Xenopus tropicalis: one gene and its partner. The protein of the gene in region 1 purifies or fractionates together with the protein of each later gene. This does not show direct contact. Links are inferred from orthologs where the notes say so. Each region holds a gene or a part of one and is shown on either strand. Other genes may lie near its edges.

Region 1 (7,275 bases):
GGGTAGAAATTCTGTCTGGATTTATTAATGGGCTTTTCCTGGTGGTTATAGCATTTTTTGTTTTCATTGAGGCTGTGGCCAGGATATACGACCCTCCGGACATCAATACAGACATGCTTACTGTAAGTACAACAGGTGTTTGTAGGTACCAAGTGCAGTTCATATTGTAGGGCACTAACAGAGCTTGCACTATTGAGCACACTGTGTCCCAGCTTGCCCATAATGCATATGTTTGTGGTATAGTATCATGGGATGTGCCGTCCTATCTACGTCTTGTGCATAATGCGCTAGCTGCAGGGAACTTGCTCATTATGTGCATGTGTGTGCTCCAACATCACACTGGAAGCTGCCTCCCGCTGCAGGGGCCACTGTACTTGATAGGGTGCTTTTGTTACAAAAAAAAATATATTTCTCCCTTCTGGAGTGCAGGCAATAAGTGATAAGTGCTGTTTAAGTTACAAGGGGAACCTAAATCCTGTTTTAGCATCCTACAAAAGACATCCTTTTCTCCACTTTCATACAAATCGCAGTTTGCCACTAGCCTGATGGTGTAGGGGAGGGGGTTCTGTACTGGTGATCTGTTTATCAAAAAAGTATGTTTAGCTCAAGCACTATTCAGTGAACTCATGTTGAACTTGGGGATATAGTTTGCTATGAACCCATTTAGTGCCTGACCCTGATCGAATGTATTCAGTTGACATTGTTTCCTGCATTTAGAGCCAAATTATCGTGTGTGGAACTAGCCAAAGTAAAATATTATACAACTGAAAGGGGCTGGACTGCATTTTTTGTACAAAATGTCTTTGCATTCTTTGTAGGTATAGGTGTGTGTATATTTTTTGTCGTGTAAGTATAATCTTTGTAACCATGTGCTGTCTTTTTCTTTTTGATAGCCTGTCTCAGTTGGAGGACTGATCGTAAACCTTGTTGGTATCTGTGCTTTCAGCCATGCTCATTCCCATGGGGCTGCTCGAGGAGGGTGTCCTTCTCATGATCATGGCCATTCTCACCACGGGCATGGACACAGTCATGGGCACAACCATGGTCACTCACACAGTGACCACGGCCATAACCATGGACATACCCACAACCATGGACACTCTCATGGGTCTGCTGGAGTAGGGATGAATGCAAATATGAGAGGTAAATGCATGTTCTGACCTCCATGTTAGTCCGTTCTATCTAGTCACTCCCTTGTCATCTGATATCTACAAATCCTAGCAGATGTGGCATAACCTATAAAAAGGCTGTAGAAACAAAGGCTTTGTCTTTTTTTCACATATAAATCCCATTATCTACTGAAGATTGTATATTCTGAGCTGTAGAAAAAACATAGAGCTAAAAATGGAAAAATTAACATTAAAATGTGTAGATCTCAATGATCACTTTCCATTTCGTAGGTGTGTTCTTACATGTACTGGCAGATACACTTGGCAGTGTTGGAGTCATTGTATCAACCATCCTGATTCGACAGTTTGGCTGGCTCATTGCTGACCCCTTATGCTCGCTGTTTATTGCTGTCTTAATATTTGGCAGTGTCCTGCCTTTGCTTAAGGATGCCTGCCAGGTGATTCTTCTGAGGATACCACAAGAAACTGAAAAAGGAATAAACATTGCACTTGAAAAGGTTAGAGCTCCGCATACCTTGTTTATTATAATAACCGTATCATAAGAAATGGCTCCCCAAAGGCTAATTTACGCTGGCCCCCACCATCGCTATTGTCTGTCCTGACAAAAGCGTAACAGACATTAGTTAGCACAAAAGCTACTCCTGTTTAAGGCTAGGTAGCCTTCAAGTCTTGAGATGGAAGCACTGAATTTATTTTATGGAGAACAATATGGGACTGTAAAGACTAATGTGGTTTAGACTTTTCTACCAGAGCGCTAGAGATTAGCACAGTATAGTCTGTGCACTTCCTGTTTATAAATGGGCCAGTGCGTTTATTTTCTTGAACTTGATGGACTCTGGACTCTTGGATCTTTTTTTTTTTAGCCCTATGTAACTATAATGCAACTGTGATGCATCATTCAAAAGATCCCTCTGTAAAAAGAAACCGTTATAGATACACCTAATAAGGTGTAAACCCAAGCACTGAAATACTAGTCATGTGCCAGTTATATTAATGCAACAAAAAAGCAAATGGCACTCGGCTATTTTTGCTCCGAAACGTTGCACCTCCGCAATAAATTTTTAAAGGGTTTTTCCCTTGTAGCCCTGAGTGCCATTTGCTTTTTTGTTGCCTTGTAGTTTTGGGAGGGTGCTGATCCCTCTTGCACTGTGCACCTGGCGTTCAAGTTTGGAGAGCTAGGGTGTGCGGAAACAGTCTCTATTGTGCTTATCCAGTTATATTAATGATCATATATAAATATAATTTTATTTAAACACTTTTTTTTTCTTCCAGATTTCTAACCTTGACGGTCTAATCTCCTACCGGGATCCACATTTCTGGCGCCATTCTGCCTCTCTAGTTGCAGGGACTATACATGTTCAGGTGATGTCAGATGTTGTAGAACAGAGGATCATTCAGCAGGTAAGTGCACTTTGACTAATGTGAGCCTGAAGCATTGGTTGTAACCACAATAAACACCATATTCTCCCCAGCCCCTTTTAGCCAGGTACATTTTGGTTCTGCTCCTGCCCCAAAGTTTGCCTTCTCCTGCCTTAATAGCACACAGAAGTTGGTTGCGATCTTTTGCAAATTAAAGGGGTGGTTCACCTTTAACTTTTAGTATGTTATATAATGGCTAATTCTAAGCAATTTTTCAATTGGTCTTCTTCCAACTCTTTGCAGTTTTTAAAGGTAGTCACTGACCCCAGCAGCCAAAAAACTTGCTCTGTGAGGCTACTTTTTAATTATTGATCTTGCTTTTTGTAACTTTCTTTACTATTCAGGCCCTCCCATATTCATATACCAGTCTCTCTTCCAAACTACTCCCTGGTTGCTAAGGTAACTTGGACCCTAGCAACCAAATAGCTGCTGAAACTCCAATCAGGAGAGCTGCTGAACTAAAAATAACTATAAAACTACAAATATTAAAAAATGAAGACCAATCACAAATTGTCTAAGAATATTACTCTCTACATCATACTAAAATTCAATTCAAAATTTTAATTCAAAGGTGAACAACTCCATTAACTGTGCTGTATTTGCAGAAATGCTCAGGCTTCCAGAAAAGTTTTTAATAAGGCAGATGAGGTGGGTGCAAACTTTTTGCATTTTAATTTGTATATTTTTCCCCATCAAGAAACTTTTTCATCCCACCCAGTGGCAAAAATGCTCTGGGTAAAATTCCAAGACACTTCTTCACCTTTGCAAATTGGAGCTCAGCAGTCCTTTACTGCATTATAGAGCCAACTAGTTCCTGGCTGCACTGCATCCATCCACACTAGGATTAATATAGAGCTTGGTGGGGCACTTTTAGTTTTGCTTTGATTTGGGGCCTTTTGAGACTTCACTAATTTAACTTAAATATACTTTGCTTACTTATTGGACTCAAGTGTAAAACATGTAAATAGAATTGTAGACTTTACACATGATTAGCTGTAAAGAACAAGGCTCCCTTGAACATTATAGAGATGCACACTGTTCAGCTATAGGCTCAGCAGAAGTATTGACAATAGGCACTATAGTGAAACAATCTTTTCATACCTACACATTTGTGCATTTATTTTTCCTAGCACTGTACCCACAATTAGAAGCCCTTTCTCTCTCTTGACTTTATGTATATGACAATTCTGGTACTTGGGCAGTAAAGAGTAATTTTTACCTATAGTAGGGATTGGTTTAGCTTATTTTCTGTACCAGATCTAACCTATTTATCAATGCAGGCTCACAGGGGCTTGAGAGGACTCCTATCCAAAATCTTTTTATTCTCCTATCTTTTTCTGTTGTAGAAAAGAATTCCAGGGACAGAAAGCATTGTAGGTGTTTTTTGTGTTAGAGTGAAGACTCGAGGAGCTACTAGTAGCAGCTGCTTGTCATGGCTACTAAAATAGACAATGCGGACCGTTTACTGATAACTGTCTCTACATGTGTTTTAGGAGAGGTCATTTTCAGTATTGTCTATGGCAGGGGATTTCCTGGCATTTAGTAGCCATGACAAGTAGCTGCAACTATGTAGCTTTGTGTGTCTTCACCCTTATAATGTATATATATTTAGGAAGGTTTACAGATACCAACTGCCCATATGAAGCCAGCTGCTTTAGCTCTTTGCAGTTTGATGATTGTACCCCAGGTAGAGACACTTAGTTGGTGTATAAGATTGCATTTTGTAATATAAATGTCAGTGTGCTCACCTCTGTCTGATTTTGATGACAGGTTACATCCCTTCTAAAGGACGCGGGAGTCAACAACCTCACTGTGCAAGTGGAGAAAGAAGCCTACTTCCAGCACATGTCTGGCCTTAGTACCGGATTTCAAGATGTCCTTATCATGACCAAACAGATGGACACTATCAAATATTACAAGGACGGGACTTATATAATGTGACAGAAAACCAGAACTTCCAAACAGTATTTATCCGTCTTTTGTCCAGGGAAAAATAAACACAAACTTGTACATAAATGTACAGATATAAGACTTTCTATAAATTTGGATTTTATAATTCATGGTTATTCTGTCCTTTTAGAGACTGAATCAGGATGTTTTATATATATATGTATTATGGTAAGAATGGTTCTGTTCTTTATTTTGAAATAATGGGATTGAGATGGGGCTTCTATACTGTGTTTTGTCTTTGTATAATAAATCTTGTGGTGGCCACTCCTATTAGAGTTGGTTGATTTCACCATTCCTACAGAGTTCTGTTTACGTAGTGTGTAATAAAGATCATGGGCTATCTTTAAATTAACACAAGAAACTTCATTGATAAAGTATTTTAAATAAACCATGAAGTTTTGGGTGCTTGATTTATGGCTCAATGTATCTTTGTATGATTCTCCTATCTCTGTGCCTTAGGGCTGATGGCCAGGGTCCTTTCAATTAAAACACTTGCTGTGTATTTATGTTGCACACATTTCACATTTGCCTGTGATTTTAAAAACATATCATTTGATTAGGGCCGGTATTACAAATTTACCGGCAACGTAATTACCTGGCCTTCCCCACGAATTTGCCCCATTCACCCCAGGTATACCTTTTCAATCTATTGTGTCATCATCCCACCCCCTTTCATCATCCCTCACCACTCTTAATCACGTCCTGCCCCTTTTCATCACTACCCACCACACTGGACAGTAAGGTTTTTTGCAAATGCAGGAATATTATTATTATTTCTTATGTGACATCCCTGTTCTTGTTTTGGTAGCAGACACGATCACTCATGAGGATCCTACGTGGTTTCTATTAATAGTTGAGGAACTATTTTTTTTATTACTTATCCTCCTAATTTTCCGTGCCCCTCTTTAATTTATATTCCAATCTCATTTAAACCACTGCCTGATTGCTAAGGTAAATGAGATTCTGGCAACCAGATAGCTGCTGAACAAAAAGCTAAATAACTGAAAAACCATAAAAAATGACAACCAATTGCACATTGTCTCAAAATATCATTGAATATAATACATCATACTAAAATTTAATTTACAGGAGAACAACCACTATAAGTCACTACGTATTGTTCCTTAGTACAGTAAAATATTTTGAATAGAAATTCTGAATGACTCTTCCGCCGTGGGGTCTAATTTCAGTGATCCCTGTCCCAGCAAAATGTAGGACTGTGTAGAGCAGAAACTTCTTAAAGTTTCTTACTTACACTCAGCTATGACAAAATGTGTTTAACAAACCGCTCCCAACAAAGGCATTTATTATAACTTTGTTTATTTTATATTGTTTTAATTCAAATAAACTTTCACACTTCATCATTGAAACTCCAGACTATCAGCAGATGGCGCTATCCCCAAACCAGAATAAATTTATGCTTATGTTAACTAAATGTCTCTGGCTTGTGCAAAAAGCACATAAAAGGTCGGTAATGTTTGCTTTAAGTTCCAGCAATGACCAAGGAACAGGGTTTCCCCCCGAAGAGAGGCCATGTCACTAGTGCACCCTTACAATCTGCAGGGACTATACTAAGGGCTAAACTCGACAGAAGATTTTGATCAGATTTTGTGGGTCACATTTTATCTGATTTTGTCATGCAACACCACAAGATTTTGTAGGATCCTACAAAACCTGACCTCCATAGGCCGTAATGTAAAGTAGGATAGAGGGGTTTGCTCCTGCATCTACATCCGACATACTATGAATTTCAATGAGAAAAAAATCTGTCAGAATCCATCAGGTTTTATCTTGTCAGATGAAGATGCAGCATGCTGCTTTCCCTTCTGACAAGCATGTTGTGTGGGATAGCAATCCTTTCATGTAGTTTAAACATGAGATTTTCTTATCAGTTCCATTGTATTGTAACCCATGAAACTACACCCAACAATTTGTCAGATGTGTTTTGTCCATCTGACAGTTTATGAAGTTCAGGCCTAAATATTATTCCTGTGCTCACAGCAGTGTTGGACTGGCCCAGCAGGAAACCAGGAAAACTCCCGGGGGACCCAGGTGTCAGTGGGCCCTCTTGCTGCTAACTATTTGCAGGAGTTGGACTGGTCCATTGAGATACCAGGAAAACTCCTGGTGGCCTGCTTCATGGTCATTCCCTATTGCTGTATAAGAACAAAGAGACTAGGATAATAAAGAGATTAAATGAGCAAAGGAGGAATAATAGTTTAGAGAATGGGCTCATGGTCCAAGGTTTTCTGGTGAGCCCCAGGCATCTCAGTCCGATACTGGCTCAGAGTAATCTTCCCCCACTTCAGAATCCTAACGCTGTCCTATAAAGCCACTGAACACCATCACTTATATGGCACTGCGGCTAATAGTCTGATGCTCTGCCTTCCATCCTACATCTTGCCTTCTTGACAGTATGGTACCTTCTGGCCATAAAGGTGCCCCTTCACCAATAGATACTGGCTTCAGGCTTGGGACACTACAGCAGGACATTGGCCCATGTGTCGGCCAAAATATTACCTCTCCAACTGATATGTTAGGGCCCCCGCATGTTCTGCTGAGTTGGTGCAGGTGTCCCATTGCTCATTGGCTTCCCTGCACTTAGAGTTCCCTGGGGATGGCTCTTACAGCATTTAGCTACACAAGGTGCAAGCCCACAAGGTTTTAGTGCCCCTACATTGCAGTTTTTACCACTGAGTTCCAACACATAGCACATTGCGGCATTTAGTCGCTCAGAGGTTAAAAGTAGTCTCTAACTAGCAGCAAATTGTCCCCT
Region 2 (7,860 bases), on another chromosome or scaffold:
GCAAAACTAAAAAGCAGAGAAGAAAAAAAAAACTGTACACACAAAGGCATTTTGCCTGGTACAGAAATGGGATCCATTTAACCAGAAACCTCAGGTCTCAAGCGTTTCACATAATAGATCACATACCTGTAGTCTTGTTGCACCATGTTTAGCAGCTTGTCATACACTCACCATGATGAAAAATGAAAAAGCCCGACAATAAATGCAATAAAATATTATAATGGTGTCAATGGCTGAATAAAACACATAGAATTTAAAAAAAAGCCTAGAAATATTTATTTAGCCGCAAAAATAACAAACCACAAAATGTCAATTAAAACTAGGGGGCTATGAGGTCTGTTTACTAGCAGCTACGATTTTAGGGAACCAGAAAAAAATGGTGTAAAATTCGGGGGAAAATTTAAAACCAGAATATGTAAAACTGAGGTTTCACTGTATCTGATCAGTCAACAGAACAGTTACCAAAAGAATTCTCAAGAAAGGAAACTCACATGTGAACTAAACTATTTTCTTTCCAAATTTCTGCCAACTGTTCTTTCTTGCACCAAGCTGACACTTCTAAACTTAAGGCTACTAAACACTTCCCTCTGCTAAATTATGTACACAGCAGTGGGAGAAAAAAAAAGCAAGCAGGGTCCTTTTATTCACATTTAACCACATCAGAGGGTGAAGGGCAGTGGAGGGGGTTATGTAAAATTATATTTCTGAGCAGCTAGGCATTACTGAATCAGTTCCTTGCCACACCAGATAAAGTATAAAAGCAAGAATAAGAGCCCCTTATTTTAGGCTTACTTTGCCAAATTAATATTATTGTGGCGATTAACTCAAAGCTGCAAGCATAGAAATTGGGGCAATTAACTCAAATAGAGAAATTCTGAAGGAATTTTGCCAGGGTTTAAACCTAAATACCATGAGTCCCATGGGTACCCACTGCATCTCATTCATCTCACAAAACACACAAGAATCACCTACTTTTCCCTCCAGAAGTGAAGTTCAAGCCCACAAGTAAAATTTCTCACTTTGCTTTGTTATTAACTCTCTGCTAACAGAATAAAAAGATTCCGGCAGACAACTCTGTGCCACCAGCATAACCTCCACTGATCAGCCTAAATATATTTGCTCCTCAATATTATTCATAAGTCTTTATAACGGCCCAAAATATTAGGCAGGGCTCTAACATACATCTTCCAATTACATGTACTGCAATCATAAAACCTATTTTGTCACCGCTGTGCACTGAAAAAAAAGGAATTAGGATTAAAAAAATGCACCCAATATAAACAGACATTTAATGGCTCACAAAATCATGTGTTTAATACATTCCTCCCCAGCTTATTTTGTTATACATGTATGGGACCTGATATCATCGTTAGTAAATATGAGCAGGCACTCTAATGAACACAATTTGATAAATCTGCCCCTTAGTCTATGACTAACTGTTGAGAGAACACGAAACACACAAAACTGCTCTTATGTGTGCAAAACAAAATTTGGGCCTGTTTGGAGGACTGCTCATTGGAGTTCCTGCTCATATTTACTACTGATGATATTCACCCCCTAAGCTAGTAAGTTACCATTTGTGGACATTTGTCTGTTTCTATAAGGGATCTGATATCCAGAATGCTCAGAACCTTGGGTGTTCCAGGTAAGGGGTCTTTTTGTAATTTGGATTTCCATCCCGTTAGTCTACTAAAAAAATAATTTAAACATTAAATAAACACAATAAAATTGTTTTGCCTCCAATAAGGATTTATTATAGCTTAGTTAAGATCAAGGATAAGATACTGTTTTATTATTACAAAGACAAAATCATTTTAAAAAATTTTAATTTTTTTATTAAAAAGGAGTCTATGGGACAGACGTATGGGACTAAGCTTATTGGATAACAAGTTTCCAGATAATGGAACTCATACCTGAGTATGTATTGTATTTGGTTCGTCACATGCATCAAGCTCTAAACATTATTAGTAATTAAAAGCTCTGGAGTCACTGAAATCAAGCTGGTTATACACTACACGGTGAGATAATGTAAAAACTTTTTCTAGCCTGTGATAGTTGCTAGAATCTAGAAGATTCTGCATAACATGGTATGACTGGAGCAATTGCTGGTGGTTCCAGGAACTTTATTTTCTGTGGGAGGGGTACAATAGTTATTATAATACACAAATTTCAGTGAGTCATATACATAGTTAAGTTGGGCTGAAAAAAGACCAAAGTCTATCAAGTTCAAGCCCTCCAAGTGAACCCGGCACACACATAGACCTATATGTGACCTATCTATACACTCACATACATAAACCATATATACCAACATGAATACTAACTGTAGATATTAGTATCACAATAGCCTTGAATATTATGCTTGTTCAAGAACTCATCCAGGCCCCTCTTAAAGGCATTAACAGAATCTGCCATCACAACATCTCTAGGAAGGGCATTCCAAAACCTCATTGCCCTCACCATGAAAAAACCACCTAAGCTGCTACAAACAAAAGTTCCGTTCCTCCAATAAAAAGGGGTGGCCTCTGTTGCACTGATTCTTTTTATGGAAAAAAGAACATCACCTAATCATGACCCCTCACAAGCGCCTTTTTTTCCCAGATAAAACAACCCCAACCTTGACAGTCTAACCTCATAGTTTAAATAATTTACTTAAAATTGAGCATTACACCACCAAACATTGATTAATATAGAATAATCTTGTGGGTTTAAGCCAGGTAGGGACCACCTATTCCTCTGCTCCTGTCTTTAGCAGCATTCAGATAAGCACATAAATCTTTATCCACATTATTGATCTGTTTTCATTTCTATTCAATGCCTTTTGCTGAAGAATAAACACACTGTTCAGCCAAAACTAATCATTTTATAGAAGTGGATGAGGCCTATATACAATCACGTGTAATAATTTATAAAGAGCTGAAGTGCATATTAGTAACGCGCGGGTCAAGAAAAACTGCTCACAACCCGAACCCTACCCGATACGGCTCTTCTCCCCTCTATTTATAGACCCAGCGCCCACTATGATGGCACAAAAGGGGCGGGGCATGTCGGGGCGTGCCTATAAATACAGAAGCCATAAGAGGAAGCCGGCAGTATTAGGTCGCCGGTGGAGAGAGAAAGCAGAAGAGCTCTACCCAAACCTGCCCTCGACACGCAAGTGATGTGCCGAAGTCGGCCCAAACCTGCGGATATCAGGCGGCCCCCGGACATCACTAGTGCATAACACCCCGCACACTGTCACTGTACCAAATAATCTGCCAAGTGCTTTTATACAGATTACAGAACTCCAAGGTACAACAGGTGCTACATTTGAGATAATACACAATTTTCAGTTTGAGTCATGTGACAAATTACATCACTGAACACTGATTAAAACTGATGACATCACTAAGCATCATCTAAAAAAAATATAATTTACAGGATATTCACTGTTTCTGTGTATTTTGAGGATAAAAATGTAGCCAAGTGGATGCCTATTTTATTACACAAATAACTGTTTTGTAATTTTTTCCAAAACACATTTCTACTGTATCCAGAGTTTGTCAGGCACACAAAATAAAATTTTGTTTGATGATATCTTTTGGCAGCAAAATCATTCATAACCTGATGTACATACAAATTTTTATTTAGAGTAAATTACTGCTACAGGCTATAAACTGTATGTAGTGAAATTTTGATCAGCAACATTAGTATTTCAATACTGGCGCAATCTTTTATGGATATTGTAAAAAGTATGGATTTATTTAATCAAAAGCAAGCATGTTTAGAGAGAAAAAAAAAGGTAAAATTATTAGCAAATCCTATGACTGGGTGTAAGAAACGCATACCACTTATATGGCATTACTCTGTATGTGTGCTATGTTGCTAATCTATGGTAATGAGATTCCAAAATAAACAGAATTCTAAAAATTAAGATTGTGCAAACTGTTCTTGTAAATAAAAAAAAAAGTGCTTCTGGGCACATTTTCATAAATAAACTAGTGTGTTTAGTTAAATCAAGGCCAGTTAGCAATGCACACAATGGAAAATAACGTCAGTGTTCTCCAATAAAGATGCTCCCTAACATCTGCATCCCACCTGTGTGCTGTGGCTCCAGCTCCATATGCCACTGAGACATAAACAAATGCCTGAGACCTGCCAGTGTACACTTTAACCAGTCAGTGTTACTACTTTAAAGGAACAGTAACGCCAAAAATGAAAGTGTATTAAAGTATTTAAAATATAATGTACTGTTACCCTGCACAGGTAAAGTTGTGTATTTGCTAAAGTAACAGTACTATAGCTTACATAAATAAGCTGCTGTGTAGCCATGGGGGCAGCCATTCAACCTGGAAAGAAGGAGAAAAGGCACAGGTTACATAGCAGATAACAGATAAGCTCTGTAGAATATAGTGGGGCTTTATCTGTTATCTGCTATGTGCCTTTTCTCCTTTGAATGGCTGCCCCCATGGCTACACAGCAGCTTTGTTTATATAAACTATAGTAGTCTTTCTGAGGCAAACACACCAGTTGTACCAGTGCAGGGCAACAGTACATAATATTGTAATTACTTTTATACACTTTCATTTTTTGGTGTTACTTTTCCTTTAAGTTAAAAAAGGGATCTATAGATTATGCAGCAGCAATTGATTTCCTATGATCCATTCACATTAATAGACATAAGTGCCAGTTAAAAACAAATATCACTTAACAGAAATAAAAATCTGCAAAGCACCTTGTGTTTTTCAGTTATTTATTATCACAGCAATTATATAAATGATGCAGTGTGTTACTGCTACATCTCTCCATGCTGAGTTGGGCTATATGTTACCAATTTAAAAAAAAAAAAAAATAGAGAAAACCAGTGTCTACTACACTTAACTATCCTTAAACTATATTTCCCATGAGCCACTGCCAGCCTTAACAGGCGATGATTTGTCTTAGCTGAAATATAAGTTCTAGGAAAGCATCTCTCGCTTTTTTTTAAAGGAAAACTGATGGTTACAGCCATTTATTAAAGTCAGATACATATATGGCCGCCATGGGGGGGCAGTCGTTCCGGTCCCTGTAGGTTTTGGGTCTTAAAAAGGACATAGCTATGCCTTACTTACTTGGATTATCGGTTCCCCTGCTGTCAATGAGCTTCGGAAAGGAAAGCAGTTGCTAGGGTGCCCACTTGTTCTCTCCTCAACAATCCCACAGCCACAAATCTCATCACGCGAGACTGGCGTGACAACTGCACGTAAAGTGAGTGACGCATCACAGAGCCGCCTTGGGGGCGTGGCGAGTGGGCGGGACTCAGCGTTCCACAGTAGCGCACTGTTAGTGAGTTGGAGTGGCTCTGCTTGTTCGCTCTGCTTGCGCCTCCTACTTGTGTTAGAGAACAAAAAAGAAAGGACTTTTCTTTCCTGTTGGTTACCGCCATGCGCTCTGCCACCTTAGCTCCCAATTTCCCCTTGAAATAAAAAAAGTTTTTTTGTTTTTCTTTTATCAAGAGTGTCCCCTGCCATCTTCCACGATCAAAGTCTGTTCTCTTGAGTTGAGAAAAAAAAAAAAAAGAGTTTGTGCAAATTAAGGGCAGGGGAATTTGTTGTTTGTATATTCTGTGTTTATTGAATTTGATGTAACAGTCACACAGATTTATATTATGGGAAGTAGAAACAAAAGAAAGCAGAAGGAAAAGGAAAAATTGAGTCCTGTTTATAAATTAAAAGGAAGTAACTAAATTGGTTCCCAAGCTATTTATAACACCAAGGGGCACATTTACTAACCCATGAATCCGAATTGGAAAAATTCCGATTGGAAAACGAACATTTTGCGTCTTTTTCGCATTTTTCGCGATTTTTTTCGGCGCCTTTACGACTTTTCGGAAATTGTCGCGACTTTTTCGTTACCAATACGATTTGCGCGAAAAAACGCAAGTTTTTCGTAGCCATTACGATGAGCTCGTATCTTGTCACGACTTTTTTGTATTGAGCGCTCGTAAGCGGCGGCCGAAACTTTCAGACTTAGCATGATTTTGGAAGCCTCCCATAGGACTCAATGGCACCCTGCAGCTCCAACCTGGCCCAAGAAAAGTCACCATACTGAAGCTTGAATGAATCCGAATCTTTCGTACTCGGCGCGAAGGCTACGAAAAAGTCACGATTTTTCGCGCAAGTAGTAACGCTACGAAAAAATCGCCAGATTTTGCGCAACATTCGGAATGGCAACGAAAAAGTCGCGACAATTTTTCTGAAAAATTGCCAAATACCGATCATTACGAAAAAAACGCAATCGGACACATTCGGCCCGTTCGTGAGTAAGTAAATGTGCCCCCAAGAGCTGTTAACCCCCCCCCCCTAATTTTTTCATAGTTAAAGCTTTTGGCTGCACCCCAGTTGCCCAATAGCATTCTCCCGATTTTTCTGCAATCCTACGAACTTTGCATCAAAAAGTGGTGACGTCATTAGAAGCATTTGCTCATTCACGGGTAGCGATTTTTGGCTTCAATGGGGCATTTGCGTGTGACATCTCTTCTGGCATGGATTCCCCTGGGGCTGAATACAATATTTATTAGGAATGCACCAAATTCACTTTTTTAGATTCGGCCGAAACCCATAAAAGATTCAACCGAATACCAAACTGAAGCCGAATCCTAATTAGCATATGCTAGTTGGGTTATGAAAAGATTACATTTTCAACTTCCGTGTTTACATGATAAAAAGTCACGTGATTTTTAGGATTCGGTTGGCCAGGAACATGAATTCGGCCGAATCCCAAACCGAATCCTGGATTCGGTGCATCCCTAATATTTATGAAGTTTGCTTATACACCTTCTAATCTATGCTACTATTTTCATTAGCTAATCAATTTGTCATATTATTATTTCCACAAATTATCTCCTTGGGCAGGGTTGTCTTCCCATGGGCATCAAACTACATAATAGTCATTATCTTATTGTATTGAGTGAGCTGTTCTTCCATGAGACATATTTTATATATTGCTCATTCATATGACATCAAATGAGGAGCAAAGGCAAGGTGGATGGTGTTCAGGATATGCATTTGGTTAAACAAAGCTGAAAGGCAAAAACAGCTGCTACTGAAGTAGCTTGAATTCCAAAGAACTATTAGGGACTAGACATCTCTCTGTACTTATAAAAAGGCTTTTGTGTCCCTTTAAAAGCAGCGTTCCACATAATAGCCTCTCTTCAAAGAAACCACAACATCCTACTCTGTTTCACCTGCATAGTCAATTTCATACAATTTTCCCCAAATGATGGGCTACTAGTACTGGAAGATGTAGAATGGAGTCTGACCTTGAATAAGGCTTTTGTACATGGAAATAACCTCACAAACCTAGTCCTTGGTTTTATACTTCTCTGTCAAACTCTGGCCAAGATTCAGCCCTGTGTCGCATTAGACTATGGCCACACACCTCTAGTGGGTTTGCTGCTGTTGGCTATTTTATATATATATATATATATTAGTATGATATTTAACTGCAATTTTTTCTACAGATTAGTTAAGTAACCTGCTTACAGTAGTTATGTAAAGCATGATTGATAAGGCAGCAGAAAAATTGAAAAACCATACTATGTCTTTTGTTTAGCTCACATTTGGATTACACTAGCGAAGAAGTGCCCAAATCAACTGCCTCACAAATCAGTCACTGCGATCTCTGTGAATCACCTGCTGTACCAGTACTTGTGTAGCCACTGAACCAAGTCAGCTATTGTGCCAGCCACGTGTTTCTCATTTAACTGACTGTGGCGGACAACTGAAAAAATTCAGATTTGCAGCTAAACAGCCAAAATAAATAAATTAAGTCAAATGTTCACTGTTCAGTCAATGTGCACTGGGCATGGAGGGCAGCCTGCAAATTGTCGGGAAGTGTTGC

What was found. Proteins that work in one complex are often made in the same cells at the same time.
Region 2: the proteins of slc30a5 (region 1) and csgalnact2 purify together in Homo sapiens (co-immunoprecipitation; 3 studies listed by BioGRID and IntAct, counting the BioPlex papers as one, with this or other methods). This does not show direct contact. The link is inferred for Xenopus tropicalis from reciprocal best matches to the Homo sapiens genes SLC30A5 and CSGALNACT2.

What each region holds. Positions count from the first base shown.
Region 1 is NC_030677.2:186,433,913-186,441,187, reverse strand, and holds the end of slc30a5 (zinc transporter 5), read left to right. Parts: coding exon 1-122; intron 123-893; coding exon 894-1,143; intron 1,144-1,400; coding exon 1,401-1,627; intron 1,628-2,402; coding exon 2,403-2,531; intron 2,532-3,120; coding exon 3,121-3,197; intron 3,198-4,319; coding exon 4,320-4,335; coding exon of another isoform or gene 4,336-4,490; 3' UTR 4,491-4,909; downstream 4,910-7,275. UniProt on the Homo sapiens protein: Together with SLC30A6 forms a functional proton-coupled zinc ion antiporter mediating zinc entry into the lumen of organelles along the secretory pathway.
Region 2 is NC_030683.2:50,287,972-50,295,831, reverse strand, and holds the start of csgalnact2 (chondroitin sulfate N-acetylgalactosaminyltransferase 2), read right to left. Parts: upstream 5,223-7,860; 5' UTR 5,091-5,222; intron 1-5,090. UniProt on the Homo sapiens protein: Transfers 1,4-N-acetylgalactosamine (GalNAc) from UDP-GalNAc to the non-reducing end of glucuronic acid (GlcUA). Required for addition of the first GalNAc to the core tetrasaccharide linker and for elongation of chondroitin chains.